2 linked regions of the Pelodiscus sinensis genome follow. The protein of the gene in region 1 interacts with the protein of each later gene in a biochemical or structural test. Links are inferred from orthologs where the notes say so. Each region holds a gene or a part of one and is shown on either strand. Other genes may lie near its edges. The genes, in order: CDC27 and ANAPC4.

Evidence for each region.
Region 2: the proteins of CDC27 (region 1) and ANAPC4 form a complex in vitro, tested with the Homo sapiens proteins (2 studies listed by BioGRID). The link is inferred for Pelodiscus sinensis from reciprocal best matches to the Homo sapiens genes CDC27 and ANAPC4.

What each region holds. Positions count from the first base shown.
Region 1 is NC_134739.1:6,830,557-6,847,101, forward strand, and holds the start of CDC27 (cell division cycle protein 27 homolog), read left to right. Parts: upstream 1-8,459; 5' UTR 8,460-8,617; coding exon 8,618-8,644; intron 8,645-16,545. UniProt on the Homo sapiens protein: Component of the anaphase promoting complex/cyclosome (APC/C), a cell cycle-regulated E3 ubiquitin ligase that controls progression through mitosis and the G1 phase of the cell cycle.
Region 2 is NC_134715.1:101,831,030-101,847,368, forward strand, and holds the start of ANAPC4 (anaphase-promoting complex subunit 4), read right to left. Parts: upstream 7,231-16,339; 5' UTR 7,088-7,230; coding exon 6,980-7,087; intron 3,185-6,979; coding exon 3,079-3,184; intron 1-3,078. Other genes in the region: rRNA N(6)-adenosine-methyltransferase ZCCHC4, read right to left, coding at 10,236-10,362, 13,733-13,877, 14,243-14,294, 16,235-16,310. UniProt on the Homo sapiens protein: Component of the anaphase promoting complex/cyclosome (APC/C), a cell cycle-regulated E3 ubiquitin ligase that controls progression through mitosis and the G1 phase of the cell cycle.

The sequences.
Region 1 (16,545 bases):
CATCATAGAGATGATGAATACAGCCGGTCCCCAAGTTACGAACGGGTTATGGACCAAACACTTGGCCGTAACTCGAAATGTTCATAAGTTGGACCCCGTTGAGTTACATTGCGACTGCGCTGTTCATAAGCGGGGGTCGCGTTCGGAACACGGGGACTGCCTTTACGACCGCTTAATGGGAGGTTTGGTCATAAATGCGAATGGTCGTAAATCGATCATTTGTAACTCGGGAACCGGCTGTAGTTCATAATGAGCCCTGTATTTGACTAATTTCACTTCTGGTCACAAAATAGCCAGGAGAAGATGGCAATTTGCTCTAATCCATTCCTTATTCGACAGCTTTCCACAGCTCCCCTTGGCTGCAAACAGCAACCCAGAACCAATGGAATCCGTGAAGCTCCGTGGCTGCGGCTCCGGTAAATAAACACACCAGAACGGCCAGTTAGCAGCTTTCTCAAAGTGGTTTCACAGACCACTTTGAGAAACACTGATATAGAGGCAATAAGGGTGTGTCTACACTGTACCTCTAGTTCAAAATAAGCTACGCAATTTGAGCTATGCAAATTGCATCGCTTATTTCAAGTTAATTTCAAAATAGCTTATTTTGTAATTTGGTGCTGTCTACACAGCATCAGATTTCAAAATAATCCACTATTCCGAAATGTCCCTTACTCCTCGTGGAAGGAGGTTTACAGGGACATTGGAATAGCGAGCCCATTATATTTCGAAATAACGGGCACGCTGTTAAGATACGGGATAGCTATAATAGCACCGCATGTAGACGTAGCCTGAGATATTACTCTCTATCCCTTTCTAATGATTCCTAACATTCTGTGTGCTTTTTTGACTGCTGCTGCACATTGAGTGTTTTTTTTCAGAGCGCTATCCACAATGACTCCAAGATTTCTCTCTTCAGTAGTAACAGCTAATTTAGTCCCCTTTATTTTACACATGTAGTTGGAATTGTGTTTTCCAAAATCCATTACTTTGCATTTATCAACATTAAAATTCATCAGCCATTTTGTGGACTAGTTACCTCATTTTGTGAGATCCTTTCGAAGCTCTTCACAGGCTGATTTGGACTTAACAGTTTTCAGCCTTTTTGTATCATCTGCAAAATTTGCCATCTCACTCTTTATCCCTTTCACCAGATAATTTATAAATAAGTTGAATGGAATTGGTCCCAGTATAGACCCTTGTGGGATACCACTAGTTACCCCTCTCCATTCTGAAATCGGATCATTTATTTCTACCCTTTTTTCATGTCTTTTAACTAGTTATCAATCCATGAGAGACTTCCCACTTATCCCGTGATACCTTACTACTGTTGATTTAGGGGATCAAGGGGCATCTGCTGTAAACTTCACCTGGTTAGTCTTTGGGAAAGTCCTGAAGGACAAAAGAGCACTGCAATGTGAAACTAAAGTGAAAATGTCAGTTGCCAAATGTTTGTACAGCTGCCCCCAGTCCCAGGTCCCGGCCGCCCATTCCACCACCTGTCCCCACAACTAATGATGTGGAGGCTCCCAGAGGGTGGGTGGTCGTAAGGCCAGGAGCATTTATAGAAAGCATCCGTCAACATCAGCCAGCGCTCCTCATGCAGAATTGCACTTTGCAGCTGGAGCGGAGGAGGCTATATAAATCATCACTCGATCCGAAGCGAGTCCCAGGACAATAGTTGATGCTGTGCCCTTTTATAGCTCGGCTGCTTTGCTCATGTCCTGGGGGCTCTGAGGAGAGGTAAAAATAGGTTTCCACTCTAAGGAGAGCCTGTGGCAGTATCTCTTTCTGACGAAGATAAGAAAGCATTTCATACCAAAGATGGTTTGGATGCTGGGAGACTCAACCCCATTCCCTGTGGAGTGGAAGAGGCAGATGGAGCCAGCTGTCATTCTGAGGAGTCACTCGCGCTTGGTTTGGGCATAAGACTGTGAGATGAAGCTGGAGAAATTAACCTACATCTCGCGCCTTTAGACCCACATCCCGCCCTTCTCTCAGATGTAGCAGCAGAGGAAAAAGGCTTCTTGGGTCTGTGTATCTGTGTACCACACAGTTGGAAGCAATGCCCAGTTGTTTGGGGGCCCAGAGGAAAGGAGTTGAGGAGTCTCTTTCCACCTGCCAGTAAAAATGCCACCATAATATGAGTATCTTCATGGCAGTTGCAGCAGAGAGCCTAAGGACCAAAGAGACCATCCCCTCCTGTTTACCAGTCAGGATGCTCAGCGCAAGCCCTTAGTGAAATGATTGCAAATCTGCAGAGTCACATAGATGTAAATGAGTTTGCATAAACTGCTTCCAGCTGCAGTGAGAGACACGCAAGAAAGAGAAATTCAGACAGATGAAGGGGGAGAGGGAGAAAAGGGGACAAAACCAGGCTTCTACATTTAATTCTCTTCCCCACCTCTCCTCCCAGCATCAGCATTTCACACTTTCTCTCCCGCACTGCCATTCCATTGCCCCCTACCAATGCACTGCAGAGTAATTCCCCTTTCCCCTCCATTCCTGCCACCCCCTCCCCCAAAGGAATTTCAGTGGGGGTTGAAGCTCCCAGAATTTTGCAGGATGATTCCCCACCGAGACAACTTTTGTGATGTTTATTATGAGTTCCCTGGTATTTGGTATTACTCTTCATGTCCCAGTTTCCAGAATCAGAGTGCTGTCCGAGAAGCTGAGCTTTCTTTGGGAAGTTTCTAGCCTTCAGGATTGCAAAGAAAAGCTTGAAAATGAGACCGCTAAATGCTTCAGCACTAGGGATCTAAGGGTACATCTACACAGCAGGGCTAAACTCGAAAAAAGCAATGCATCTTGAGCTATGCAAATCGCGTAGCTGAAGTCGAGATAGCTTATTTCGAATTTGGACATGTCTACACAGCACTTATTTCAAAATAGAGCACTCTTCCTCTGACTTCTCACACGATGAGGTTTACAGAAGTTGGTGTAAGAAGCCTGTTATTTTGAATTTATTTTGAAATAACAGGCTTGCTGTGTAGACGCGCAAAACACTATTTTGGAATAATGGATGTTATTCTGTAATAACACTGCTGTGTAGACGTACTCTTAGGCTATGTCTACACTGTGGCTTTTACCAGCAGAGAGTATTCAAATGAAGTGCTGATTAGCATTTTGTCATGCTTCATTTGCATAATCTATTCAGGCCGGTTTTGTGCAAAAACAAGCAGTGTGGACGTTTCCTATTTGTGCAAAAACCCCTTGTTCTGCAAGCTCCTTATGCCTCTTCAGGAGAGGCATAAGGAGGTTTTGCGCAAAACAGAAGCGGCTGCACTGCTTCTTTTTGCACAAAAACCCCTTGCACAAAAAGAAACAGCAGAAAATATGCTAATGATATTGCAACTTATGCTAATGAGTTCTTCATTAGCATATTTTCTGCCACAAAAACTCACAGTGTAAATGTAGCTTAAGTGTCAGCTTATCTTTACGGTAACATGCCAGCTTCCAACCCTGCTCTGAATCAGAGCTCGCTGTGTGGGGAGATCGCCAATACCCTGTAAATTGGACCGGCAGCCAGAGCTAGTGCATACTGGAAACTGGCTAATACTAATAGCAACATCGGTTCATGGCTGCTGGCCCCTCTCCTGTGAAGCCAGTTGTGCTGCAGGCTCAGCAGTATAAACTTTATACTTCAGACCCCACAGCATGTGTAGGTGCTAGGATGTTTAGCAGTTACACAGTTACATATTTAACTGTTCTTTTACATTCCTATTCATCACTAAAAGACAAAAATAACCTTAAAATCTCATTGTTTTTAAGACTGTCTCTTGAGTTTTGAGTTTGGCATTATTGCAAATGTAAAATCAATATCAGCATTTGATTTCGTCAGATTGACAGTGTTTGCCCCCAGAAAACGAAATGTGTTCTGTTGTATTCACTATTAATATTTAGGCAATAGGCTAAGGGAACAGGTAAAGCTAAACAAGACAGCTGTGTCTAGACTGGCAAGTTTTTCCGCAAAATCATCTGTTTTTGCGGAAAAACTTGTCAGCTGTCTACACTGACGTCTCATGTAAGATCGTCAGTGTTCTTGCGGAAATACTGTGCTGCTCCCATTCGGGCAAAAGCCCTCTTGCGCAAATCATTTGCACAAGAGGGCCAGTGTAAACAGCACAGTACTGTTTTCCACAAAAAAGCCCCGATCGCGAAAATGGCGATTGGGGCTTTTTTACGGAAAATCGTGCCTAGATTGGCCACGGACGCTTTTCCGCAAAAAGTGCTTTTCCGTTAAAAGCTTTTCCGTTAAAAGCATTTTCAGAATATCATGCCAGTGTAGATGTAGCCGACCAGTTATTGGAGAGAGAAAATCCAAGCTGAACCTGTGAACAGTGCCCTGGTGTTTTCTCATTGCTGAGCACTTGCATCTGCAGCCTTAATAATACTCTTTTAATGCAGTGCTCTTTGTGGGCAACAGAAAAAGAATCTGCCGCTGAAATGCTACCTAAAGAGTCATTCCTGACATGCAAGAAACAATTTTTTAGCACTTCAGCATTGACAGTCCTCCCCACCTCTTCCTAAGGGTTTGTCTACATAGGGAAATTAGTCCAGATTAAGGTGACTCTAATCTGGTCCACACTGGGAATAATTCCAGAACAGCTCTACTAGGATAGCTTCAGGGGGTAGCCTAGTCTGTACAGGATAAACTTAAAAAACAACAAATAGTCTGGTAGCACATTATAGACAAACAAAACATGTAGATGGTATCATGAGCTTTCATGGGCATGGCCCACTTCTTCAGATAACCAGAGTTTTGTTAAACGGCTGGTTATTTGGGTAATTGAAGGATCATTAGATCACCATGAAAACATTGCCAGGTACTCCACTTAAAAGCTGGGGGGAAGGAAGTGTGGACTGCTGGGATCTGCATTTAGATTACTGCTGTTAAACTTCTCATAAATGAGAAAAAGGGGTAAACAATGACTACTTCACAACTGACTGCGAAGAGTTACAAAGGGATCTCACAAAACTGGGTGATTGGGCAACACAAAGGCAGATGGAATTCAGTGTTGATAAGTGCAAATTAATGCACATAAGAAAATATAATTCTAACCATACATATAAAAATGATGGGGTCTAAAATAGCTGTTACCACTCAAGAAAGAGATCTTGGCATCCTTGAAAACATCTGCTCAGTGTGCAGTGGCAGTTTGAAAACTAAAAAGCTAACCAAATATTGGGAATCGTTAGGAAAAGGAATAGATAAGAAGACAAAATATCATATTGCCTGTGTATAAAATCATTGTATGCCCACATCTTGAATGCAGATCTGGTCACCCCCTCTAAAAAAAAGATATATTGGATTTGGAAAAGGTACAGAAAGGGCAACAGAAATGATTAGGGGTAAGGAACAGAGATTAACAAGACTGCGATTTTTCATCTTGGAAAAGAAATGATTAAAGCGTAGGGGGATATGTTGGAGGTCTTGAAAACTATGAAAGCTATAGAAAAATAGAATAAGGATCTGTTATTCATTTCTGCACTAACATAACACAAGAAGATGACCCAATTAAATCTATGGGCAGCCGATGTAAAACTATAACAGGGTTCCAATAAGAACGAAATAAGTTCAAGGCGGATAGGTCCATCAATGGCTACTAGCCAGACTGAGCAGGGATGATATCCCTAGTTTCTGTTTGCCAGAAGCTAGGAATGGGCGACAGGGAATGGCTCATGATTGCCTCTTCTATTTATTCCTCTTGACATACCTGACATTGGCCAATGTTGGTAGACAGGACACTGGGCTAGAAAGACCTTTGGTCCTACCCAGTATGACCATTCTGATCCTCTTATATCGAGCTGAAATTTATCTCCCCCTTTTGTAACCCACTAGATTCCACTTCCCTTCCAGAGCTGAGAGACAGCCCACAAGTTCTGACAGGGTTTCTCTATCCCCGGATTTAGTAACTAAGTAAGAATAGACATTAACATTTTAAGGCTAAATAGTGTCCCTTAAGTGACGTGCCATAAGATGTCAGAATATGTTAGAGCTGAGTGGGTCTAATATTTATTTAATTTTCTTGTATATTGAAATTAGATTCAGTGCTCCTGCTAACTGCTAAGTTGTCAGCCAAAAAAGCAGAGTTTTCCAGTGCCTTAGTAGCCCTGGGACAGAGATGATATGGTGGGGAGGGTGGAAGGAATTGGTTCCTCCCCCATTTGGTACTTGGTTTGTACCGAGCATGCTCAGTAACACTGCTGAAAGCCGCTGTCCTCAGTTTTCCTCCCCATGCTCTCATTACCCTCCATCACGGCATGCACAGGTCGCCACTCCCCCACCAAAATCTGAAATGGCGCCCATTGCGATTTCCCTGCGAAGACAAGTTTGCACTAATTGCAAAAACTCCTCTCTCTGCTGGGCTGTCCCTGTGCTGCTGGGGGAGTGAGGGTTGCAGCCCTGGGGCCTGCCAGTTGGAGGGCAGCGCCAGGGACATGAGACATTTTCAGACTTTAGGAGTCAGTTATGGAGGAGCTTTCAGTGGCCACCAGAGGACACTGCTGCTGCACGGAAAAGGGTCACTCGGCTGCCAATAGTCCTTAGAAAAAGGGTGGACTGGAGTGGGGCTGCATACAAGGGGAAAGAGAGAGACAAGGGAGAAGGAGAGCAGGGATTGGAGAGGAAGAGGAGGGGAGGAAAGGAAAAGAGGGGAAAGGAGAGAAAGAAAAGGGCAAGGTAAGGTGAGTAGGGAAAAAAGAAGGAATAGAGAAGGAGGGGAAGAAGAATGAAATAGAGAAGAAGGAGGAGGAAAGAGGAAGAAGAGGAGGAGGGGACTGGGAGAGTGAAAGGGAAGAAGAAGAGGAGGAAGAGAGGAGGAGGGAAGGGGAAGAGAAGAGTGAAAGGGAAGGCGAGGAAGAGAGAAGGTAAGGGGAGGAGGAAGATGAAGGGGAGGGCGAGGAAGAGAGGAGGAAGGTGAGGAGGAGGGAAGAGGAAGACAGAAGGGAAGGGAGCGGGAGGAGGAAGGGGGAAGAGGAGGAAGATGAAGGGGGAGGAGAAAAATGGGAAGGGGAAGAAAAGGGGAGAAGAAGGAAAGGGAAGAGAGAGGGGAGGGGAAGGAGGAAGATGAGGAGGAAGATGAAGAGGGAAGGGGAAGAAGGAGGAAGGGAAGGAGGAAGATGAGGGGGAGAAGGAAGCTGAAGAGGAGGGAAGGGGAAGACAGAGGAAGAGAGAGGGATGGGAAGAGGAGGAGGCAGATGAAGACGGAAGGGGAGGAAGGCGGAAGGGGAGAGGAAGAGAGAGGGGAAGGTGCAGGAGGAAGATGAAGAGGGTGAGGAAGAGAGGAGGAAGGGGGAGGAGGAAGATAAAGGGAAGGGGGAGAGAGGGGCAGGGGAAGAAGAAGGTAGGAGGAGGGGAAGGAGGAAGATGAAGAGGAGGAAGGGGAAGGGGGAAGAGGAAGAGAGAGGAGGAAGGAAGAGAGAAGGGAAGGAGGGAGGAGGGAAGAGGAGGAGGAAGATGAAGAGGGAAGGGGAGGAAGGGAAGGAGAAAGATGAGGGGGGAGGGGGAAGGGGAAGAGAGAGGAGGAGGGAAGGGTTAGGGGAAGAGAGAGAGGAAGGTGCAGGAGGAAGATGAAGAGAGGAGGAAGGGGGAGGAGGAAGATAAAGGGAAGGGGAAGAGGGGGAAGGGGAAGAAGAAGGTGGAAGGAGGAAGGAGGAAGATGAACAGGAGGAAGGGGAAGGGGAAGAGAGAGGAGGAGGGAAGGGGAGGGGAAGTTGCAGGAGGAAGATGAAGAGAGGAGGAGGGAGAGGAGGAAGATAAGGGGAGAGTGGGGAAGGGGAAGGGGAAGAAGAAGATAGGAGGAGGGGAAGGAGGAAGATGAAGAGGAGGAAGGGGAAGAGGAAGGGGTAAGAGAGAGGAGGAGGGAAGGGGAGGGGAAGTTGCAGGAGGAAGATGAAGAGAGGAGGAGGGGGAGGAGGAAGATGAAGGGGAAGAAGAAGGTAGGAGGAAGGGGAAGGAGGAAGATGAAGAGAGGAGGAGGGGAAGAGGAAGATAAAGGGAAGGGGAAGGGGAAGAAGAAGAGGAGGAAGGGGAAGGGGGAAGAGAGAGGAGGAGGGAAGGGGAGGGGAAGTTGCAGGAGGAAGATGAAGGGAAGGGGAAGAAGAAGGGGAGGGAGCGGGAGGAGGAGGGAAGAGGAGGGGATGGGGAAGGGGGCGATGCGGGATTTGACGGGGCGGAGCCTGGGAGACGCAGACAGGCAGGGCTGGGCAGACCACGCCCCCCGCGCTCCGCCTGCCTGCGCCGCCCAGCCCAGCTCCTGGCGCGGGGAGCGCTCGGCTCTCTCCGTCAGCTCGGGCCTCTCGGGCGCTGCTCGGGTGTTTCCGTCTCCGTTCGGCGCTCTCCCTCCCCGCGCCTGTGGCGCGCTCCGCCCTCGGCTGTTTCCGCCCCCGCTCGGCTATTTCCGGCTCCCCTCGGCTGTTTCCGCCCCCGCTCGGCTATTTCCGGCTCCCCTCGGGTGTTCCCGTCCCCGCTCGGAGGCAGTCGGCGCCTGGCCGGCCTCCTTCCTTCCCTCCCGGGTGCCTGCCCCGGTAACGGTCGCTGCGAGTTTAAATGAGCAGGGGCCGGGCCGCGCCGCGCCGCCGCCAGGACTCGCCCCGCCGCGGGCGCTGAGGGGACAGGATGACGGTGCTGCAGGAGCCCGTGCAGGTACCGAGCCGCAGCCGCCCCGAGGCCCCGGCCTAGCGGGCCCGGCCTCTCCCGAGCCAGCCCGGCCTGGCGGGGCCCCCCCCGCCCGCCCGGCCGCAGGGGCCCCTCAGCGCCCGCCTCAGACGTGGGGCCCCGAGGCCCCGCCCCTGGAGCGGGGACCAGGCCCCGCACGGCCCGCACCGCACTGACCCGGCAGCCCCTCCCCCTGCCGGCCCGCCTCCTCCAGACCCCCCCCCCCCCCGGCCAGGCTCCCCTCGAATCTCCCAGAGGGGCCCGCCACTGGCTGGTCTCCCTCCCCCCACCTCGGCCCTGGTATCCCTGCGCTCCGTCCTGCCACAGCCCTGGGGGCCGATCGGGACCTCTCGCTTGGGCGAGGGGCTGGACACGATCCCCGCCCCAGCGGCAGAGCCTCATGTGCCTAGCTCGTAAGACAGCCGATGGAGACAGGGAGGGGGGCACGAGGGGGCAGGGAGGGGGGCACGAGGGCAGGTGGGACGAGGGGGCAGGGAGGGGGGCACGAGGGGGGCACGAGGGCAGGGGGGACGAGGGGGCAGGGAGGGGGCACGAGGGCAGGTGGGACGAGGGGGCAGGGAGGGGGCAGGGGGGACGAGGGGGCAGGGAGGGGGGCACGAGGGCAGGTGGGACGAGGGGGCAGGGAGGGGGCACGAGGGCAGGTGGGACGAGGGGGCAGGGAGGGGGGCACGAGGGCAGGTGGGACGAGGGGGCAGGGAGGGGGCACGAGGGCAGGTGGGACGAGGGGGCAGGGAGGGGGCAGGTGGGACGAGGGGGCAGGGAGGGGGCACGAGGGCAGGTGGGACGAGGGGGCAGGGAGGGGGCAGGGGGGACGAGGGGGCAGGGAGGGGGCACGAGGGCAGGGGGGACGAGGGGGCAGGGAGGGGGCACGAGGGCAGGGGGGACGAGGGGGCAGGGAGGGGGCACGAGGACAGGTGGGACGAGGGGGCAGGGAGGGGGGCACGAGGACAGGTGGGACGAGGGGGCAGGGAGGGGGCACGAGGGCAGGTGGGACGAGGGGGCAGGGAGGGGGGCACGAGGGCAGGTGGGACGAGGGGGCAGGGAGGGGGCACGAGGGCAGGGGGGACGAGGGGGCACGAGGATAGGTGGGACGAGGGGGCAGGGAGGGGGCACGAGGACAGGTGGGAAGAGGGGGCAGGGAGGGGGGCACGAGGACAGGTGGGACGAGGGGGCAGGGAGGGGGCACGGGGGCAGGTGGGACGAGGGGGCAGGGAGGGGGCACGAGGGCAGGTGGGACGAGGGGGCAGGGAGGGGGCACGAGGACAGGTGGGACGAGGGGGCAGGGAGGGGGGCACGAGGACAGGTGGGACGAGGGGGCAGGGAGGGGGGCACGAGGACAGGTGGGACGAGGCGGTAGGGAGGGGGGTACGAGGGCAGGTGGGACGAGGGGGCAGGGAGGGGGCACGAGGGCAGGTGGGACGAGGGGGCAGGGAGGGGGGCACGAGAGCAGGTGGGACGAGGGGGCAGGGAGGGGGGCATGAGGAAACAATGAGTTGATACTAGCCAGCATAATAGTGGCTAGTGCACGTCCAAGAGGGATTCTTCCCATCTCCACTGTTCCAGCCCAACTCCTTATGGAACCCCTCGATTTCTCCTTTCTGGTTTCATTCACCCTCCATGGCTGCTGTTTTTGTATTTAAATACCCACAATGTGCTTGTCACTGTGGATTACACACAAGTGAAGGGCATTCATTGTCCCAAGGAGCATGCAGTCTAAGGCCAGGTCTTCACTTGCTGCTGGATATTGATCTTCTGGTGTTAGATTTAGTGGGTGTAGGTAAGACGCCGTAAATCGAATGCCGAGGGTGGCTCCATGTGGCACTTGTACTCCTGGCTGTTGTGGAGAAGGGAAGCCGATGAGAGCGTTGGCACCGGTCTTCACAGAGGGAGGCCAACAAGAGCAGAGCTCAGCTTAAGGTAAGCAGACTCCAGTGACATATTTTACATAGCTGGAGTTGCGTACCTTAACCTGGCCTTCCAGGTCTGGTGTAGACTTGGTCTAAAAGAGACCAAGTCTCGCCTGAAAGACCCAAAGGAGGAAATAACTTTAGGTTCTTTTTTTCTCCCCCTTTTTTAAAGTCTAATTTTTTTTCCAGGATATTTTCCCTTTTTATTTTAGTCTCTTTTCAGAAGTGATACCATCTCAGAAGTTATCCGTTCTCTCTTTCCTATATCAACTTTGCCTTAGCTATCCTATCTATGTTCCCTCCCACTTCAATTTTCCCATGCTATCTCCTCTCCTTTCCCCTCCACCAGACTTCCAATCTTTTTCAGGTTTCTGTCTTTAGAAATAAATTGGGACATAGGGCTTCAAAGGTCTTGCATGCAAAATAAATTTTTTCTTGGTAACTTGTAAACTCTCCCAGCTTCTACACGGCCAAGATGCTTAGCATGCTGGACAGTTTTTCATAATGACAATAGTGAGCACAACAAAAGTATCTAATTTCTCTTGTTTCCTCTTCTCTCTAAAAAGATAGAAGGATGTAGCTTTTTGTGGGATACATCATCTACCCCACTGATTTAGCCTACACAACAAGGTGGAAGCAGTGGTGGCACTATTATTGTAGATGAGTTCATCATCTTTATGCCAAATTCTATAGGTCTGCTCTGAACCACATTAGACAACGCATTGCTGAAAACACTTCTGGCCATCTGATGCCCTTTCTCCAGTAATACTCTCTCAAGTTAGCATCTCGAGCTGGGCAGGTGGTAGCAGCAGTTGGAAATTCTAGCAAAAAGTGGCTAGTGTAGGCTTCAGTATGGAAAGAAAGTAAATGCCCGCTTACATAGATATTGTTTGCTTTCATTCACTAACATTTTTACAAATACATGCAATCAGCATCTTTTCTGCTGTCCTGATTATGGCTAACCAGGTGGGAAATATTTGATATTCTGAAATTTCCTTGGCAAAGATATGGAGTATTTTATTTGAGGTATGTTGTTTGATGTGTAAAATGGACACTTGTAATGTTATCTTCTCTAGCTTGGAAGTTCTGTTGATAACACTCTGCTTTCATTATCACACAAACCTACGGCTTGTCTACACTAGCAAATTACTGTGCTGTTGCTTTCTCTCTCAGGGGTGTGAAAATACCACTCTCTCCCTCCCAGCACAGCAAATTGCAGCGCTGTAAAGCGCCAGTGTAAACGAGCTCCCAGTACAGGGAGCCCAAGTGTAGACCAAGACCCTAGCTGGCTTCGGTGTTCTTCATGAAATACCAGCTCTCTCTTATTTTGCTCTCCAAAGAAGCTAATGTTAGTGTGACTTCAATGCACAATCATTAGGTCTACTTTTGTAGGACTCATGATATGCTTCTATCTCAACCCCAGTGGGGCAGCAGTAATAGTGGTTGTATTGTAGGCACAGCTTAAGTGACAAGCTTATATGACAAGGTGGCAAAAACATGAGTTCTGTGTAAGTTACAGCCTCCGCCATTGCTTTCATTAGCTGGGTTGCAGTGGTGAGAATTGCAGATCCTAAATGTGCCATTTTCAATGAAGCCTTTGTTTAGGCCTAGTTTCTCTCTTCTCCTTTGATGACCTCATAGAAATCTACCTTGGTCATCTGCAGTCACTTAAAAGTAAACAGCAGTGGTGCAGTGATTCTGGCAGTTGTAACAAATGCAGTAAAACCACAGGATTATGATGCATTCTGACACTAATGTAATAAGCCTATGACATTCAGGCTGTCTTGCTGTATGGATTTAAATGAAGTTGTTGGGTTATGTGTTCAGTGCTTGGCTGGACTCCTGGTACTTTTTCGTTCCCCTGTTATCTGAGCATTCTCCTTGCACATGTTCTGTAAGAGCAGGCATCACTTCTGACTCATCAACATTATAAGTGATGTGCGTATGTGTAAAAACGCATTTTTTCCCATGTACCTTTGTATAGCACATACTGATGGTCATTCAAGAGATCTTTCACTCACCTCATCATCTATCCCTTCACCACCTTGCAAAAGCATTTGGAAAACTTACTTTTACAATCCTGAGGAGCATTGTAGTGGTTTCATTTATATAAATAGCATTTTAAAAGCGTCTAAGATGACAAATGCTTGCCTTGAAAAGCTTCCATTTTAAGGACTAGATCTTGACACCTCTGCTTGCAGTGAGTAAAAAGTGGCAGAATCTTGTCCTAATTAGACAATGTATCCTTTGATATCTCCTAATGAAGTCCAAACTTGAAAGATGAATTAATCCAGGTTTCTCAAGCTTCACTGCATTGCAACCCCCTTCTGACAACAAAGTTATTAAAATAACCCGGGAGGTGGGGCTGGAGAGGGGGACAGAATGAGGAAGGAGAAAGGCAGCAGGGCTCAGGCTTGGGTTTGATGATGGGCCATAGCCTGAGCCTCAGCACCCCCAGATCCAGCAAGTCTAATGCTTGTCCTGGTGACCCTATTAAAATGGGTTTGCAACCCACTTTTGGGCTCCTGACCCACTGTTTGAGAGCTGCTGATTATTAAGATATATATTTCATGTGTTAGCCTATAACTAGGGATGTTAAAAATAGTGTAAGAGGTAGGGATGTGGTAGTGTAAACCAGTGTTTCTCAACCTTTTTTAATAAGTACCCCTTTTCCAAAAAAAAAAGTACTCCCAGTACCTACAGTTTTCAGACACGCATTTTTTTTCCTACCATTGCAACACATTTGTTTAAACAATTTAATCGTAGCCGGGCGGGCAATGAAATTTTTGGGTGTAAAAAGTTCAAAAATTATAAAGCTGTAAATTTCAGTTGTGTTGACGTACCCCCCAGACATCTTTCAAGTATCCCTAAAGGGACTCTCATACCACTGGTTGAGGAAAAAACTGGTATAAACTGTTAACACGTGAACCTGGGCTTATGGGTTAACCTTCACGGTTGCACACAGTTTCCCGTCCCCCTGCGCTGCAGGGGTTCCAGTCAGCTTCCCAGGAGCCGCCTTCCACTCAGCATGTAAACATGCAACTGCTGAAAGTTTCAGCACATTTACCTGAATACACACATTTCAACATCCCTAGTAATAGGGTAATTGTGTAACCGCTGAAAATCTCAGTGGTTACCCTGTTGCCCACACTGCGGGCTCTGCGGCAGTGAAGCCTCCTCCCTGGGAGCAGAACCCACTGCCCTTGCTCATCCGGCTCCCGGGGGAGGAGGCTTCACTGACTGTAACCAACACTGTTAACCAATAAGCATTCACTTATTGGTTGAACAGTTAGTCGTTTACACTCAAATATTCCTACCTAGAACAGATGCATTTTAATTTTCATCTCTGAAAATCTTTAGTTTCACTAATACAGCTCTTAACTATTTCCTTGGATGTTTCAATACCTTGTGTTTTCGTCATATTTGAATAGCTGGTATTGACTGCCATGATCAGGTCTAATGATTAAGGCCTTAAAATTCAGTCTGGTCAATTTCACAGTTATGGGCTTTTAAAAATCAGAAATTTCATTATTTTGAATATTTAAATCTGAAACTTCACAGTGCTGTAATTGTAGGGGTGTTGACCCAAACAGGAGTTGGGGAGGGCTACTGTAGGGGTGGGCTGTGGTACTGTTACCCTTACTTCTGCACTGTTGCCATCAGAGCTGGGTCCTTGGTCAGCAGTCACAACTTTCCAGCCTCCCAGCTCTGAAGACAGTGTAAAAGTAAGGGTGGTGGTACTGCATCCTCCCTAAAATAACCTTACAACCCCTCCTGCAATTCTCTTTTGAGTCAGGACCTCCAATTCGAGAAACAACTTTCAGAGGGGAGAGACCAAATTTCATGGTCCATGATGCATTTTGCAGGGCTATGAATTTGTTAGGGCCCTACTAATGATGGATGGTTTCCAAGGCCGTATTCATATGGTGTCTGATAACACAATAGACACAGCCATGAACAATTATTGTTAGCTAAGGTTCCCGGACCAGTCAGGCTTTTTCCTTGCTCTCCAAAACCATGCTATGAAACCAGAATTGTCATTTCATTTTAGACTAACCCCAGCCTGAAAATCAGTCTGTAATGATCTTTCTTAAAAGGGAAAAAATTCTTGTCTATACTGGTCATGGAATTAGTAATGTGGACAGACCCTTCTTGTTGAAAAGTGCAGTGCTTTTGACATTACCTGTTGCACAACAGAGATTTCATTTGTTGGTAAGAAAAGAATGGGAACCAGCTCTTGGGCTTTGTCTACTCAGTGGGAAAGTGTTAAAGTAAACTATTGGTTGGAACACTCTGAATCTGCAGCTACTGTATAATGCCCTGTGTCCGTACAGGTCGGCTGTCTGAAGCATTTAAGTGGTGGTGGTGAGATCTCTACCTCTGCTCTGGATAAACAGGTGCCACCTAAAAAAGCTTCTCACTGCAGATGAGAAATCACAGTGTAGTAGTTCAGCCAGTTCTAAATCCAATGGAGTAGCTTTTGTTGGGTAAATATCCAAAAGCAGGAGCTTGCAGCAACAGTTCTGGACCCTGAGGATTGGTTGTCTTTGTATCTCCCAGAATGCACTTACAACTACAGTTGTCAGGTATATTGCAGGAGGAAGCACCAGAATGGTTTTGTCATAGGCACTGCTGCAGTTCGGGCATGCTGAATTGTTGCATTTGTCTTGGTAACAACTGCCTTCATGTGTTCACTGACCGTTATAATTTCCTTGCTTTGTTTCTGAAAGGTGAAATATCGGCAAAATTAATTGCCCACTCTTATTGAGGCTAAAGGCAGGTTAAATTGGTTTTGTAAAAGCTGTTACAGCATGGTGGTTCTTTTCCTCTCTTGTCCTAGTCTGTAGAACAGGGGTGGGCAATAATTTTTGATGGGGGAGTCCTAGGAATGTAAACAACTAGTTGAGTGACTATTCACTTCTCTCCTCCCCTGGCTGCTTTTGTATCAGAGGCAGCAAGGTGGGGGGAAGCAGTAGCTGGCGCTGGGGGGAACTTGCTTAAATGCCAATTCCACCCAGCTCCGTGTCTGTGCTGCAGGGGCTGAGGAAGGGAGGCATCGCCGCAGCAGTCCCACCTTGCACTGCCCCTGGGAGCCAACCCCGTTGCGGCTCTGCACTTTAAATGTAGTACTGCAGAGCTGCAGCCGTGATAGCGATCGTCCCTCCCCCCATCAACTAATCGAGGGCTGCTGTCTGGGAGCCACCTAAGTAAGCACCTTTCAGCCAGAGCCTGCATCTGACACTCCACACCTTGCTGCACCCCTGGCCCAGGTTACCACCCAAACCCAGTGCACCCTCCCTAGGTTATAACTCCTTCCATAGAAACGTGTGACTCTTGACCACTTACCAAAAACTTGGAGTGGCCCACCCCGTCAAAAATTATTGCCTTACCCCTGATCTAGTCTGACCATCCATACAACACAGGTCACCAACGTCTCCCATTACTCATACACTAAACCCAACAACTGAAATTAGATCAAAGAATGACAGCCCAAAGGAGACTCAATTTATGTGCCACAGGCAAAGAAGGTGCATAAGTGTGTGAGGCCCCTGCAATGGCAGGGAAATGATTATGTAAGAACAGTCTAGATAATCCTGACTAGTGACCTGCACCAGTACTCTGCAGAGGAAGGCCAAAAAAACCCAGGTTTGACTAGTGTGAGCTTAGAGAGAAAATTACATCCTGATCCCACACATGATGATCCTGAGCTTGTGAGCAAGAACCAGCAGTGACGCTCCTGAGACTGAAAATGATTTGTCACATTAGCCTTGGCCCTACCTATCCAGTGTCACCAATGTCACCCTGATTGATGTAGCTATGCCAACAAAGTGCTGTAATGTGGTCTTGGCCTACCTTTTGAGAGGACAACTAGAGGAACTTGCAGTCTCTGGCACAGTAAATACATCATCTAAGTCAGGCCTGGGTGAAATACAAGCCAGGGACTGGATCTGGCCTACCAAG
Region 2 (16,339 bases), on another chromosome or scaffold:
CAGGAAGGATAGACAGGGAAAAAAGGGAGGAGGTGTTGCCTTATATATTAAAAATGAACACACTTGGAGTGAGGTGGAGATGGACATAGGAGACAGGAGTGTTGAGAGTCTCTGGGCTAGGCTAAAAGGGATTAAAGGCCACCTACCCAGGTGGAAGAAGTCGATGAGGCTTTTTTTAAACAACTAACAATATCATCCAAAGCCCAAGATTTGGTGGTGATGGGGGACTTCAACTATCCAGATATATATTGGGAAAATAACACAGCGGGGCACAGACTATCCAATAAGTTCTTGGACTGCACTGGAGATAATTTTTTATTTCAGAAGGTTGAAAAAGCTACCCGGGGAAAGCTGTTCTAGATTTGGTCCTAACAAATAGGGAGGAACTGGTTGAGAATTTGAAAGTGGAAGGCAGCTTGGGTGAAAGTGATCATGAAATCACAGAGTTCATAATTCTAAGGAAGTGTAGAAGGGAGAACAGCAAAATAGAGACAATGGATTTCAGGAAGGCGGATTTTGGTAAGCTCAGAGAACTGATAGGTAAGGTCCCATGGGAATCAAGACTGAGGGGAAAAACAGCTGAGGAGAGTTGGCAGTTTTTCAAAGGGACATTATTAAGGGCCCAAAAGCAAGCTATTCCGCTGTGTCGGAAAGATAGAAAATACGGCAAAAGACCGCCTTGGCTTAACCACGAGATCTTGCATGATCTAAAATAAAAAAGGAGTCCTATAAAAAATGGAAAGTAGGACAAATTACAAAGAATGAATATAGGCAAACAAGGAATAAAGGGAATAAAGGGAAACAAGAAGACTTTTTATAAATACATTAGAAGCAAGAGGAAGACCAAGGACAGGGTAGGCCCACTGGTCAGTGAGGAGGGAGAAACAGTAACAGGAAACTTGGAAATAGCAGAGATGCTTAATGACTTCTTTGTTTCGGTCTTCACCGAGAAGTCTGAAGGAACGCCTAACATAGTGAATGCTAGTGGGAAGGGGGTAGGTTTAAAAGATAAAATAAAAAAAGAACAAGTTAAAAATCACCTAGAAAAGTTAGATGCCTGATGAAATGCATTCTAGAATACTCAAGGATCTGATAGAGGAGGTATCTGAGCCTCTAGCTATCATCTTTGGAAAATCATGGGAGACAGGAGAGATTCCAGAAGACTGAAAAGGGGCAAATATAGTGCCCATTTATAAAAAGGGAAATAAGAACAACCCATGAAACTACAGACCAGTTAATTTAACTTCTGTGCCAGGGAAGATAATGGAGCAAGTAATTAAGGAAATCATCGGTAAACACTTGGAAGGTAGCATGGTGACAGGGAACATCCAGCATGGATCTGTAAAGAACAAATCATGTCAAACCAATCTGCTAGCTTTCTTTGATAGGATAACAAGTCTTGTGGATAAGGGAGAAGCAGTGGATGTGGTATACCTAGACTTAGTAAGGCGTTTGATACGGTCTCACATGATATTCTTATCAATAAACTAGGCAAATACAACTTAGATGGAGCTACTATAAGGTGGGTGCATAACAGGCTGGATAACCATACTCAGAGAGTAGTTATTAATGGTTCACAATCCTGGTGTAAAGGTATAACAAGTGGGGATCTGCAGGGGTCTGTTTTGGGACCGGCTCTGTTCAATATCTTCATCAATGATTTAGATATTGGCATAGAAAGTACACTTATTAAGTTTGCAGATGATACCAAGCTGAGAAGGGTTGCAACTGCTCTGGAGGATAGGGTCATAATTCAAAATGATCTGGACAAATTGGAGAAATGGTCTGAGGTAAACAGGATGACGTTTAATAAAGACAAATGCAAAGTGCTCCACTTAGGAAGGAACAATCAGTTTCACACATACAGAATGGAAAGCGACTTTCTAGGAAGGAGTACAGCAGAAAGGGATCTGTATATAACTAGGGGTTATAGTGGACCACAAGCTGAATATGAGTCAGCAGTGTGATGCTGTTGCAAAGAAAGCAAACATGATTCTGGGATGCATTAACCGGTATATTGTAAGCAAGACACGAGAAGTCGTTCTTCTGCTCTACTCTGTGCTAGTTAGGCCTCAGTTGGAGTATTGTGTCCAGTTCTGGGCACTGCATTTCAAGAAAGATGTGGAGAAATTGGAGAGAGTCCACAGAAGAGCAACAAGAACGATTAAAGGTCTAGAGAACATGACCTATGAAGGAAGGCTGAAAGAATTGGGTTTGTTTAGTCTAGAAAAGAGAAGATTGAGGGGGGACATGATAACAATTTTCAAGTATCTAAAAGGGTGTCATAAGGAGGTGGGAGAAAACTTGTTCATCTTGGCCTCTGAGGACAGAACAAGAAGCAATGGGCAATGGGTATTTGGTCCTGCCATGAGGGCAGGGGACTGGACTCGATGACCTCTCGAGGTCCCTTCCAGTCCTAGTATTCTATGATCTATGATTCTATGATATTTAACCTAGATCCATACTTAGCTTACTGTTACTCATGGGAGAAAAAATATGCTAACCATGAACACAAGTCTTAGAAAATTTGGTGCCAAAATATATTTGAAACACAGTGTTTATTTAACAAATATATTTTATTGCAACATAATATAATTCTAAGATTCTCACAAGAACACATCCCTATTTGATTCAAGTACTGAAACATTTGGATCAGAACTTATATGACTACCGTACATTCATTTTTTGAACTAATTCATTCCCAATGTGTAATATAATAAGAGATTCTGCTCATATGCACATGGATGATTGATATGAAACATCTCTGCACTATTAAGAGTTGAATATTGTCATGCAATCTGAAAAATAATATTCCCATAATTGCAATCTTATTTTAAATGTCACCTGTCACTTCAGTGTCACTATAAAAGTAGCCATCCTTTATAGATCACATCATTCATCAGAGGAATAACTTTCCCACTTATTTTATTTGCTAAATAAAATTACGCTACCCTTTTCTTAACATTGTGTAGTGGGAATTTTCTTTTCAAGTTAGGTAATGTTGTGTTTACTAAAAGTATCTATTGGTTTCCAACACCATTTTTATTGCAGCAAAAAGCATCATGTATTTAATATTACTTTTGCCATCTGGTCTCCAAGCGAGGGCTGTAACTTCTTTCCCTGTATTTTCATTTGGTGGCAAACTCCAAACTCGTTGAAAGTTTGCAAGTCGGTGAAGTAAAACCTGAAAAGCAGATAGATTACATGTAGGAAAATTTAACATCTTCCCCTATAACAATATTTTATAAATCAGCCACTAAAGATGCTTTTATTAGGCTTAAAACCCATATTTGGAAAGTCAGTTCTAAAGCTATTCATATAAAGAAAACAATCATTTTACGCATACATTATTCTTGGGCACACTGTCTACTACAAGCAATGAAAAGAGGTTTTAGGCTGAGAGAGAAGTCTACAATCAGTCTGACTAATAGGAATAATAATTATAATATGGTATTTAGGGAGGCTTTCCCACCACAAATAGTATCTGTATTGTGGAAGCATTGCCGTTGATCTTCCCATGCACAGTCAAGGCTCTTCAAGAGGAAACTGAAGTGTAAAGCAGTGATTTTCAATCTTTTTTCATTTGTAGGTCACCTAAGTAATTTCAAATGGAAGTGGGGAAATCTTAGACTTAGTGTGTGGATCTTCCTCCCCTCCTCGCAGAGGTCCAATGATACGTAAAGAGCTTTTTAACAAAAAAGAACACGTTGTAGAGAAGGAAAGGGAATTAAGAAAAACAGAAACAGACAAAAAGAGAGAAAGCAAGAGAGCGTGTGCATGAGCAGAGATATTAAAAAAACCCTTCTCTGATGGAACACACACTCCCTCCCACCAGTCATCTGCAGATAGCACTGCCATAAGATGAGGAAAGGCATATGGCAAACTGGCAAGAGAAGCTCTGAATTACATTACTTCAAGAAACAAACTGAGATCTACATTATGTTGTTCCAGCTTCTGCATCACTAACCAGTTTTCAATGCTTTTATTGGTTTTAAAATTATTTTAAATATAAATTAATTTTACACACTTGTTAAGTCACAAAAAGCAGGCTATCTCCTGGGAATTACCATTTACTTAGATTGCTAAGCAAAATAAAAAGGACAAGGTAAGGAAAAATGTCTCCTATCACAAAAGTATTTTAGCCCAATATATAAAAACCATTATATTGTGGACAAAGGACTACATTTATAGTAAAAACAGAGACAATATCCCCACTCCATCTCCAGCAGCAATTATTGCTTTTTTGCTCTTTCCTCCCAATGATCTGAACATGAAAAATGTCAAGATGAATACAGAATCTTGTGGTGACAGGCTAAACATTTAAACAATCTCCCTTTTCCAGAACACATCTGAAGAATATCAGAATTGTGCGAGAACACAACACAGGAAGAAAATCAATACTGACAATTAAAAGCAAACAATTTTTAAAGCACTTTAGGAAAATAGGATGCTCCCCAAAGTCATCAAAGACTGAAAACGATACTCAGATACAGCAGCAAAGTATCTGTGTTAGTCTGTAACTTTCAAAACAATGAACAGTCCTGTGTCACCTTAGACTAACCAATATATCATGAGCTTTTATGTCCAGGGAGGTTAATATGTTCCCCTACAGGATTATGTGTGCTACCATTCCCGGATTTATGTCCATTAATCTGTTGTGGCAGAGACTGTCTGCTTTGGCCAATATACATGGCAAAGAGGCATTGATGGCACTTGATGTCATATATTATATTAGACGATGTGCAATTGTATGAGCCCCTGATGTTGTGGCTTACGTGGTTAGGTCCTGCGATGGTGTCACTTGTATCCCTATGTGCACAAAGGTGGCAACGGGGTTTGTTGCAGGTGTAGGTTCCTAGGTGAGTGTATCTGTGATGAGGAGTATGGCGGTTGGTATTTACTTAAGGTTGGGAGGGGGACTGTCTTATCACCTATATCACCCCCAGGTAAGGATCAGCCTACCTCCCAAGATCTGTGAGGGGTCATTTTCCAGTACAGATTAAAGATTATCAATGAAATGCTGGGGCGTGCTAAGCTAGGGGATATAGATGATGTCCAGTGGTGGTGTTATTTTCTTTGTTGGGCCTGTCTTGAAGAAGGTGGCTTCCGGGTACTAGTCTGGCTCTATCAACGTTTCCTCACTTCTCAAGGTGGGTATTTAAATTTTCAAAATGCTTCATAAATATCTTGTAGGTGTTTGTCTGTGGGATTGGAGCAGATCTGATTGTATCTAAGGGTACGTCTAGACTACATGCCTCTGGCGACAGAGGCATGTAGATTAGGGTACCGGACATAGTAAAATGAAGCGGCGATTATTTAAATCGCCGCTTCATTTTACTATGTCCGGTACCCTAATCTACATGCCTCTGTCGCCAGAGGCATGTAGTCTAGATGTACCCTTAGGGCTTGGCTGCAGATAACAGATTGTGTGATGTGTCCTGGATGGAAGCTAGAAGAATGTAGGTAAGAATAGCAGTCAGTAGGTTTCCAGTATAGGGTGGTGTTTATGTGAACATCATTTATTTGTATTGTAGTGTAAAGAAAGTGGATCTCTTGTGTAGGCTGGTCCAGGCTGAAGTTGATAGTGGGGTGGAAATTATTGAAATCCCTGTGGAATTCGTCAAAGGTCTCCTTCCCAAAGGTCCATATGATGAAAATGTTATCAGTGTAATATAAACAGAGGACAGGTGGCAAGGGATGGGAGCTGAGGAAACATTGTTCTAGGCAGTCATGAAAATGCTGGCATATTGTAGGCCATGCGAGTACCCACAGCAGTGCCACTGACTTGAAGGTATAAACTGTTCCCAAATCAGAAACAGTTGTGGGTGAGGACAAAGTCACATAGCTCAGCCACCAGGTGTATTGTGGCATCATCAGAGTGTTCCTGACAGTTTGTAGTCTGTTCTCGTATGGAATACCAATATAAAGAGTTTCTACACCCATAGTGGCCAGGATAGTGTTTTCAGGAAGATTACCGATGTTCTGTAGTTTCTTCAGGAAGTCAGTGGTGTCTCAAAGATAGATAGGAGTGCTGGTAGCATGCAGCGTGAGGAAAGAGTCAATGTAGCCAGATTATCCTGTTTAAGGGTGCTATTGCATGAGATGATGAAACATCCAGGATTTCCAGATTTATGGATCTTGAGGAATAGACAGAATACTGACTATGAATGGGACAGATCCAGCCTGACTCAATTACCGTTATTAACACTGCTTTTCCTGTTTATATACTCTGGATTCTGTCATTTCCACTCCAACTCATCTGAAGTGGGATCTACCCACAAAAGCTCATGATATATTTGCTAGTCTTTAGGGTGACACAGGTCTGCTCACTGTTTAAAATACAGCATGTTCTAGCACAGTGCCAGATTCTTCACAGCACTATCCCACTAAATTCTGCCTTTGCAACACACTAAGCAGCTACAACAAACCAAGGTCTTTCCTGCACAGATGCAGACAGCATGAAAGAACAGAATTCTCGGCTAACTTAGCTGTACAGCACTGGGAATGCCAACACGGTAAACCCAAGATACTAAGTCATTCTCATGTGAAGGCTTAAAAAACCCTCACACATGCTATGGTGCACTATTCCTGTGGCTGAAGATGGCGTGTAGAATAAGGAGGCCCGTTTGGCTGTCAATAATGACAAGGGAGGGTGGAGAGAGCCCAGTGCTAGCCTCCCCCAGTGCTAGCCTCCCCACAGCACTGCCCAGCTGGCCGGAGTTCTTTCCCCGGGAGCCGCAGGGAGAGCGCTGCTGCAGGGGCAGGGAGAGCGAAGCCGCCTCTGGCGAACCCTGAGGCACTACTGGAGGAGGGAGCAGGCAGCAGGGCTGCGGGCGAAGAGGGGCGGTCAGCCAGGGAACCCCGCTCCCCCAGCGGCGGAGCGCAGCAGCGCTGTCGGAGGAGGTGCCTTTCTTACACGCCGTTTCCAGCTCGCTGAGCCGGGCCCTGCAGCTGCCCCGTTACCCCGGCCCCGTCTTACCTCCCCCACTTTGTTGGCAAGGGCGATGAGGTCCCTCTTGGGAGACCAGGCCATGAAGATGATTTCCTGGGGAAGCTGCTTCTCCCCGACCTGCCGGAAAGCGGGCATGGCGGGGGGCTCCTGCACCGGCAGGCTCGGGCCGGGCTCCTTCCCTCACCTCCCCGTCCCCCTTAAGCCCTTCCCACGTCGCGCCCCATCCCGCTGCCCGCTCCGCGCCCGGAGCCCACAGCCCGTCCAGCCGCACGCAGCACAGCGACAGCCCCGCGAGAAGCGGCTCCGCCCGGCTCTCCCGCCTTCCGGGGCGGCCCCCGCCTCGTCACTGCGCCGCCGCCGCGCCCCGCAGCTCACGTGTGGCGGGAAACACAAGGGACTGCCCCGCGGAATTCCCTCTGCGGCCCAACGCGTGCAGCAGGGAGATGCTGCAGCTCCACAGCGCTGCCCCTCGGGGTCCCGGTACACCGGCCCCAGCCTTCCCGGGCGCGGCGAGGGGCGGTTACTAATGAGGGTGAGTTGAGGTGCCTGGGTAGTTGTTCGAAAATCCCTCTGTACCTTTAAGGGGGAAAGGGAAAGGTAGCTGGGAGTCAGCTCTGACAGTGAAGCCCATGCATGCTTATGGGTCTTTTGGAGCTCCAGGTCCAGAAAGTCTGCAGCTGCATAGTTGCCGGACCAGCTTGGAAGACTGAGGCTACCCTGCCTGCAGGGAGGTGGAAGGTAGAGGGCCTGGAGGCAATAGCCTGGGGCAGCAGTGGGGGAGGGGAGGAAGGGTGGTGAGGAGTCTGGGAGCACTAGCCAAATTGAGGCCTTATACTTGACAGGGAAATTCAAGCCGCCCGTGTAGACAGCTGACACGTTTTTCCGCAAAAGCAGATGATTTTGCAGAAAGACTTGCCCATCTAGACACAGCCAGTGTGTTTCTCACGTCAAGCCTATTCCAATGTCTGGTCTCGGTAGCAGTCATTCCAGAGAAATGTGTTTCACAGAAGTATGAAGATGGAAATGGCAGCAAAGCCTTGAGGGCTAGGGTGCTGAGTTCTGGGTATTTATCCTTTGTTTTAATCCAGAAGGATGGAAGATGAAGATGAATTAATTAAACTTTTAAGTCCTCTGTCACATGCCAGCTCAATCAACTAATTGATCCTTTTGCAGCAATGGCAAGGATGACACCTTGTTGGCAGGAAGAAATGGACTATGGATCCATTCTTTCCCAACCCTCAGATCTTTTGAATTTGGGAAATATTGCTCAAATGCATCAGAGTGTGACCGCAGGTGCTCGCTTAGGGTATGTCTACACTGCCACCCTAGTTCAAACTAGGGTGGCTAATGGAGGCATTCAAACTTGCAAATGAAGCCCGGGATTTAAATATCCCAGGCTTCATTTGCACATTCCTGGGTGCCGCCATGTTTAAATGCCCCATAGTTTGAACTACCTGCCCACGGGTACATGCGGCACAGACTAGGTAGCTCGAATTAAAGCTCGAACCTTTCCCACCTTGCGGGGGGGTGGGAAAAGTGAGTAGCTGACTACTTGCTTACATCTCTATCGTCTACACAATTAACGAATAAGCCTAGGTTTGTCAGTTAATTCTATCAACTACACACATTCCCCCCCACTGTCTCTGAGACAGAGGCAGCAAAGGTGTGGGGACACAAGAGCTGGTTTTTAAGCCATCTCCCTATGGGCACTGGATCCCATGGAGCAGCTGGCCTCCTCCCTGCACTGCTGCCTCTGATAGAGAGGCACAGCATAGGGTGTGTGGGGTAGGGGAGAAGGTGGGAACCACTGCACATGGGAAGCTGGCTTTTAAGTGAGCTCTGTGGTGCTGCCTGTCCCCCTTTCCTCCTGCCTCTGTGAGGGAGCAGGGGGGGAGGCGGCACTCAGGGAGGAGCTGGTCCACCTGCCCCCAAAGGCAGCAGCGCAGAGGAGTGGTGGACCCAGGCTCACCGTGGGCAGAGCATGCTGCTGTGGAGCAGCCTCTGTCCATGGCAGACCTAAACTCACTGCAGACAGAGGCTGCTCTGTGGAATGCCGGCGCAGCCTCTGTCCACAGGGAACTTGGGGCCCCCATGGACAGGGGCTGCTGCTGTCACTATCAGAGGCAGCAGCACAGGGTGGCAAGCAGAAGCTGGTTTTTAATTGGCTGTCCTTGTGGACTGGCTCCTGCCTGCCACCAGATGCAGCATTGAAGGGTGACAGGGGTCTCCCCGGAAGTGGGTCTAGGAGCACACTGGCTCTTGGCGCCACTGCCGGGGACTACTGAATAACCGTGTAGCTGATAATATTTGGTGTATCTAATATCCCTACTAGGTAGAGAACAATTACTTGAATGGAACCAATATAGTTATAGAAAGTTTAATTCCATTGCATTGCTCATTTCCTTTGAATTTTCTATATTCATGTTTACCGCAGCATCAAAAATAATTTATATGCGTTTCTTTGAACTGCAGACTGCTCCTCACTAGTAAATGAAATTATACAGTTAAGTTTAATTATTAAAAAAATCCCATACTTGACACATAACAAGGGGCACTTGTCTAGGAATTATTTTGGAGAAGTTGGATGGCCAGTAATAGTGAGGTCAAACAAAATGATTGCAATGGTCCCTTCTGACCTTAAATCTATAAACTGTCCAGTTTACCACTGATATGCTAAAAATACTGGATAGTTGGAGGGGAACAGCCTCTGCATTTTTGTTGTCTCTGCATTGTATAATGTCTCAACTGTGGATAAAAGTTTAAAAACTACATGTATCTAGTTATCTAGAAGAAATAATACACGGGTTTCCATTACTGCCACGAAACAACCAACATACCAGTAGATAAAGAACAAAAGGCTGACTTGCCATCCATTACATGGGCATGGTAGATGGTGTTTGGAAAGCAAAAGAGCCAGGTGGAAATGCAGGTCAATATCAAGGAGAAAAATGCAGGTCAATATCAAGTTAATTAAAAGCTATTAAAAACCTTGTCCCAATAATTTACAAGTCCTGTACAATATTATTCCATTTTGTCTTTTAGTGCAGTCATGGTTTAGACTAGTATATAAGCTGTTTTAGATATCACACTTGAACATATTCACAAATGGAAAGAGCAGCTTGGATAGCAGTTTTCTCCTACTGCCAAAGTTCTGAGGTAATATTACAAGAAGCAGACATTTTTAATTCAAACCGGCTTTATCTAAAATATCATATTAACATTTACAGCAAATGGAAGCAAAAATTGGCTGTAAAATCATTCACAGTTTTAGGTAACTTGAGTATTAACAAGCAAGAGTGTTTTTCTTTTTCTTTATTTTTTTCCGTGGGAACGTAGCATGCTTCACAGATGGTCTTTTAACATTATCCATTTTTATCTTGTTCTTCTTTAGCCTCCGCTTTCTGTCAGCTCTGGAAAACAAGGGAATAGACAAACATATTACATGTTATCAGAGCTATAGTGAATTGTACATTGTAGTAAACACAAATACAAGGACTTGTCTATGACTAAAATCTCAAATATAGTCAGAACAACAGCTCTTAAAGTAAATTTCTTTGGGTATGTCTACACTACCCCGCTAGTTCGAACTAGCGGGGTAATGTAGGCATACCGCACTTGCTAATGAAGCCTGGGATTTGAATTTCCCGGGCTTCATTAGCATAAGCGGGGAGCCGCCATTTTTAAATCCCCGCTGCTTCGAACCCCATGTAGCGCGGCTACACGGGGCTCGAACTAGGTAGTTCGGACTAGGGTCCTATGCCGAACTACCGTTACTCCTCGTGAAACGAGGTGTACCGGTAGTTCGGAATAGGCACCCTAGTCCAAACTACCTAGTTCGAGCCCCGTGTAGCCGCGCTGCACGGGGTTCGAAGCAGCGGGGATTTAAAAATGGCGGCTCCCCGCTTATGCTAATGAAGCCCGGGAAATTCAAATCCCGGGCTTCATTAGCAAGTGCAGTATGCATACATTACCCTCCTAGTTCGAACTAGGAGGGTAGTGTAGACATACCCTTTGAAATTCGACTTGCAAGATTGTAATATTATCTCTGCAGAGATATTACAATCTACTTTTACTTCAACATTGACATGGGGTTAAATTTATTTTACACCTATAGATGTATCTTTACTCAGTATTGTAATTTTAGACTCAAATGCTTTTAAAACTTTTAAAAGTATACATCTGATCACCTCAAATATAAAACATGGTGATTGTTGACATTACATGTTCAACAATTGCACTGCCCAATTTACTATTGAAGAAATTGTACAAACATAAGAATCTGTATGGAACACAGGATTTAAAACCTAAATAATTAACAAGTATTTTTTTCCATCTGTTATGGTAATGCTATCTATGTAATAGGTTATCAATTAATAACTATAGAGTCTTGTACTAACCACAACATACATTTGCAGGTGTTTAAGCCCATGTTAATCCAATAATTTATATCAGGAGAAACATATTGACAATACAGTAGTAAACTACGGTCTGCATGAACTACAATAGTCCAGAAAGATATATATATTTGATCTCACCAAAACTGGAAGCAAACAAAGTTTCATGTAAAAGTAAGGTCAGTCATTTTCATGCAGATTTTACTACTTTGAGAAATATGGTAGGGATAAATATGAATAAAGCTCTCTCTACATTTTGGCTATGTATTACTCCACAATTAAAATTTTTGGAAAACAGAAATGGTGGGCTATGCCTAGCAGCGATACAGGTTGGACATCCTTGGTCCAGCACTCTCGGGACCTGACTAGTCCCAGATGAAGGATTTTGCAGGACCAGGGGAGGCCATTTCTGGCTCCCTTGCTGTCGACCCTATGCCTTGCCACCCCACGGGGCTTCCCAGCTCCCCCAGGCAGAGCCCAGCCGGGCCACATGCCAGGCTTCTCCCCCACCAAAGCACATTAGGACTCCCTGATCCTGGAACATCTGTGGTTGCCAGACCACAGAGTCCCGGTTTACAGAGGTGCAACCTGTAAGAGCAAATCAAATATGAGCTTGCAATGTGTTATGGACACAAATGCGAGTATAGTTTTTGGCTCTATCACAGAGGCCACAGAACCACAATTTCTGCCATCTCATCTATGAAAAAGAATGCTTAAAACACACTCTCATATGCCAAGAGATACACATGCCTTACTCAACTAGAGTACGTTATTTTGGTCATCCTGATTCTTCTGCTTCAGACAAAAATGAATGAATTTAGCTTCAAAAAACCTCATAGTAATTGTGGTTCTTGAAGTGGCATCCATGTGGAAAATGCGTATCTAGAGGAATATGAACTCCCATGTACACAAAAATCTCATTCTGTATACTGATGACCACCGGACAGTTAGAATCCCTCACCCAAGAGTGTGTCTAGACTACAGGATTTTTTATTTTTTTTGAAAAGAGTGGCCTTTTTAAAAAAAAAAAAAAAAAAAAAACTTCCCCTGCATCTAGACTGGTGCTACGTTCTTTCTAAATTAAAAATCAAAAGAACGTGGCATTTTTTCGACCGTGGTAAACCTCATCTTATGAGGAAGAACGCCTTTTTTCTTAAGTGCTCTTTTGAAAAAAGGTGTTCTTGAATGCTAACAGGTCTTTTTCGAAAGAAAGCATCCAGACTGCCTGGGTGCTCTCTTACAAAAAAGCAACTCGCTTTTTCTAAAGAAGTGGTTGCAATCTAGACACTCTTTCAAAAGAGGCTTTTTCGAAAGCCTCTTTCAAAAGAGGCTAGTAGTCTAGACATAGCTCAAGAGCATAAAAGCAGCATAGATCCAACTGCTGCTCAGTTCCTCCTTAACACCCATGACAGAGAGCTGAAACAATATCCTCATAGCTGTATCTTTTATTATTGATATTTAGTGTTCGTTCTACCTTGGGTTAGTTAATTCTGTTGACAAACTCAAATCTTTCCCCTTCTCTTTCAATAGTTACCTTTACGTTTTCAGATTCAGAAAGTCGTCCGGTCTGAGAGACCCTTCAATGATGGACAATGATGGGCATATTAATGTACTATCTTGGAGAGGGGCATGTGTCTGAAATATGCTCAGTGTGCAGATCTTTTTCAAAAAGACCTTTTTCAAAACACTCCCACAAACTACCAGACACCTATTTAAAATTGTTTTTATTAGTGTGTTCCACATTAGGGATGTTAAATATTGGTTAACTGAATAGTCGATTAACCTCATGAATTCTTTTCAGTTACTTGACTATTCTGTAGTCCCTGGGGGTGGCGCCAGCAGCCAGTATGCTCTGGCCCCATTCCTGGGGAGCCCTTTGCCACTCCAGGCAGGAGCTGGTCCATGAAGGGAGAAAGTTTAAAAATCAGGTCCCCCGTGCTGCTGCCTCTGATACAGAGGCAACAGCCTCTATCGGAGTGGAGGAGGGTGCTGAGCTCCCAGATCCTGCACAAGTCAAGGAGCTCCTGTTTCTTCGAAGGTCGTGTCCACACTTTGAACTGGAGATGCGATGCCCAGCTTGGAGGCATACGCTAACTCTGATCAAGCTAGTGCAGAATGCAGCTAACTGTCCCAAATACTTGCCTAACATCTCCAATGGACACAGTTTTAGTGTACTAATTCAATAAAAGTTAGCACAAATGTGTCTCCTTGAGCTGGAAATTGCACCCTTAGCTCAAATAAAAACTTCAACTTATTGATTATCACAATCTGAATTTACTGAACAACTTTCTCTCTACTTCTATCAAATCATTCTCATGAAATAATAATCATATCCCACAACTGAGAGGTTTTTCAAATAAATATTCATATGCAGTGTTATACTTACTGGCAAGCTCTTTCAGCCACAGAGAGATTAGGGCAGGTGCTGCGTTTGTGACCTGCTTCATCACAAATAAAGCAACTAGTTTTAGCTCTGTCACAAGTGTGACCTGGCAGAGCACAGCGATTGCAAGTGTTGCAGTGAATCCAAGCTGAAAAGTAAGTAATGGGAACTTATGATTTTGAAAAGATGCATCAATATGTTTAGAGAATTCAGCTGAGAAATCTTATAAAGATTTAATCATGATTCTACAAGAAGCAAGAATCAAACTATTTTAAGTTTTTCTATAACTAATTGAAGGAATTAACTGTGCCTTGATTCAGCAACAAAGACATTTTCATGCAGGTGAAATCCATCCACACAAGCTGAATTTTGTGGAAACTGGGTACTTTTGCACTGAATCATGAATGTCTTATAGTTTATTACTTTTATTTCTATTTTTTATTTTGACTTTTTTGGACAGAAATATATAGTAAGTCAACTTCTATTACTTGAAAAATATTGTTCTGTACTTACAAGGCTTTACGCATTTTTTGCAAAGAAAGCAATGATTCCATCGTCTTCCATCCTATAAAAAAGTTGGTAATTTTAAACAAATATTTTAAAATGTTACTAATAAAATATTTTCACTATATGCAGTATCATTTTTAAACTGTACTGTGCTCCTCAACTTCCTGGCATACAACATTGAAATATTTCAAATATATGGAATATGTATGTGCACAAGTAGCATACACAGATGCTCAGGATCCATGATTTCTTTTGGCAGCTGTTAGCAGAACTGAGGTGCCATAAAGGGCAGCATATTTTTCCACCTTTCCAAGCAGAGAAAAAAATGGAACATGACAACATGCTGTTGATGGGCAGATGTATAGACTTCAGGTATCCTTTGTCCAGCCGAAATCAATGAGGTAATGGACACAGAAAATTCTACAGGGACTGATCCATAGTTTAAATCAGGGGTTCCCAAACTTTTTGACACAGGGACCAGTAAATCCATTCACCAGCTTTTGGAGGACTGGTAACAGTCATCTGCATATTAATTAAGCAACTGATGAATATTCAACTAAGTTGTTTCTGGTCCTCCTAAAGCTCCCAGTGCCAGCGTTAGCAAAGCTTTTGATACAGTCACCCACAATATTCTTACCAGCAAGTTAAGGGAATATGGATTGGATAAATGGACTGTAAGATGGAATTTTGAAAGATGTAAGATGAAACACTAAATTTTCAGTGTTTCACCTGGCTGCATCCTCTGCCCAGCCTGGGCCAGGTCTTGGGGGACCTGGCACTGCATGGGCACTGCAGGAGCAGATTGGGGGGTAGGGTATTTGGCTAGGAGGGAGGGTACAAGGAAGGATATGGTTGCAAGGTGTCCAGTTTTGTCCCCCATAGTCTGGTATTTGAGGCTTCTGTCTGGGAAACAAATTGAGAAAATACTGGACAGAAAATACTGGACATTTTATATAATTAGGTAAGTTTTATTATAATTAGGTGCATCAGTCCGTAGCTGCGAACTGCCTGGCTGGTAGATGTGCTAACGCTGTGTTAGTGTCTACCAGCCAGGCAGTTCACAACTACAACTACTCGAGGGAGGGTATTTGGGGGGGGGGAGGGGGGGGGGGGGGGGAGAGAAATGGAATCCACGGGGCCAGACTCACTCCTGTGGCATGTACCCGCTCCCCCTCTCCTCTCCCCACCCCCACAATCTCCCCAGTCCAGCCCTACTGCCCCTGTCCAGCCCTGCTTCTGGTGGCCAGTTCACCCCCACCCCCCACCGATCTGCCCCAGTCAGCCCCGCTCCCCCGACGACCCCCCCACCAGCCCCGCTGCCTCCATCTAGCCCTACTTCCGGCAGCTGGTTCTCCCGTCCTCCCCATCTCCCCCTTCCAGTGCCCCACTCCCACCCAGCCCGCTGCCCCCATCCAGCCCTGCTTCCAGAGGGTGGTTCTCCAATCCTCCTCCTCCCAATCTCCCCCGGCCAGCGCCCCCCCCCCGCACCCAGTTCAGCCCTGGTTCTGCCGCGCCGCCCTCCTTGATCTCTGCCGGACAGCCCCACTACCTCTAACCCTGCTTCCACTGCCTGCCCACCCGCCCAGATCTCCGCCCGACAGCCCCGCTACCCCCAACCCTGCTTTTGCCGCCCACCTGCCCAGATCTCCATGGGACAGCCCTGCTACCCCTAACCCTGCTTCGGCCGCCCACCCAGATCTCTGCTGGACAGCCCCGTGACCCCTAACCCTGCTTCCCTGCAGCTGGTTCTGGGCCCCCCCCCCCTCCACACACACACCTCCTCCCAGCCAGCCCTGCTCTGCTCCCCTCTCAGCAACTGGGCCTTAGCGTGGCATTTTTTTAGTTTGGGAAACACTGGTTTAAATCAATCAAAAGACTCCCATATTGAGCTCTCTGCCACAAAAGATACACTTTTAATATTAATAGCAGAAGAGATTTGTAACAACACAAACATCACTTTACAATTGCTAAAATACCATTCCAGAAAGAGGAACTTACTTTTGATGTACATGAATTGCAGATATCACAATGTTGGTTCCCTGAACTAACATATCGCTGACACACAGAGCAAAACCTGAAAAAGCAGTTACAAAAGCATTGGCC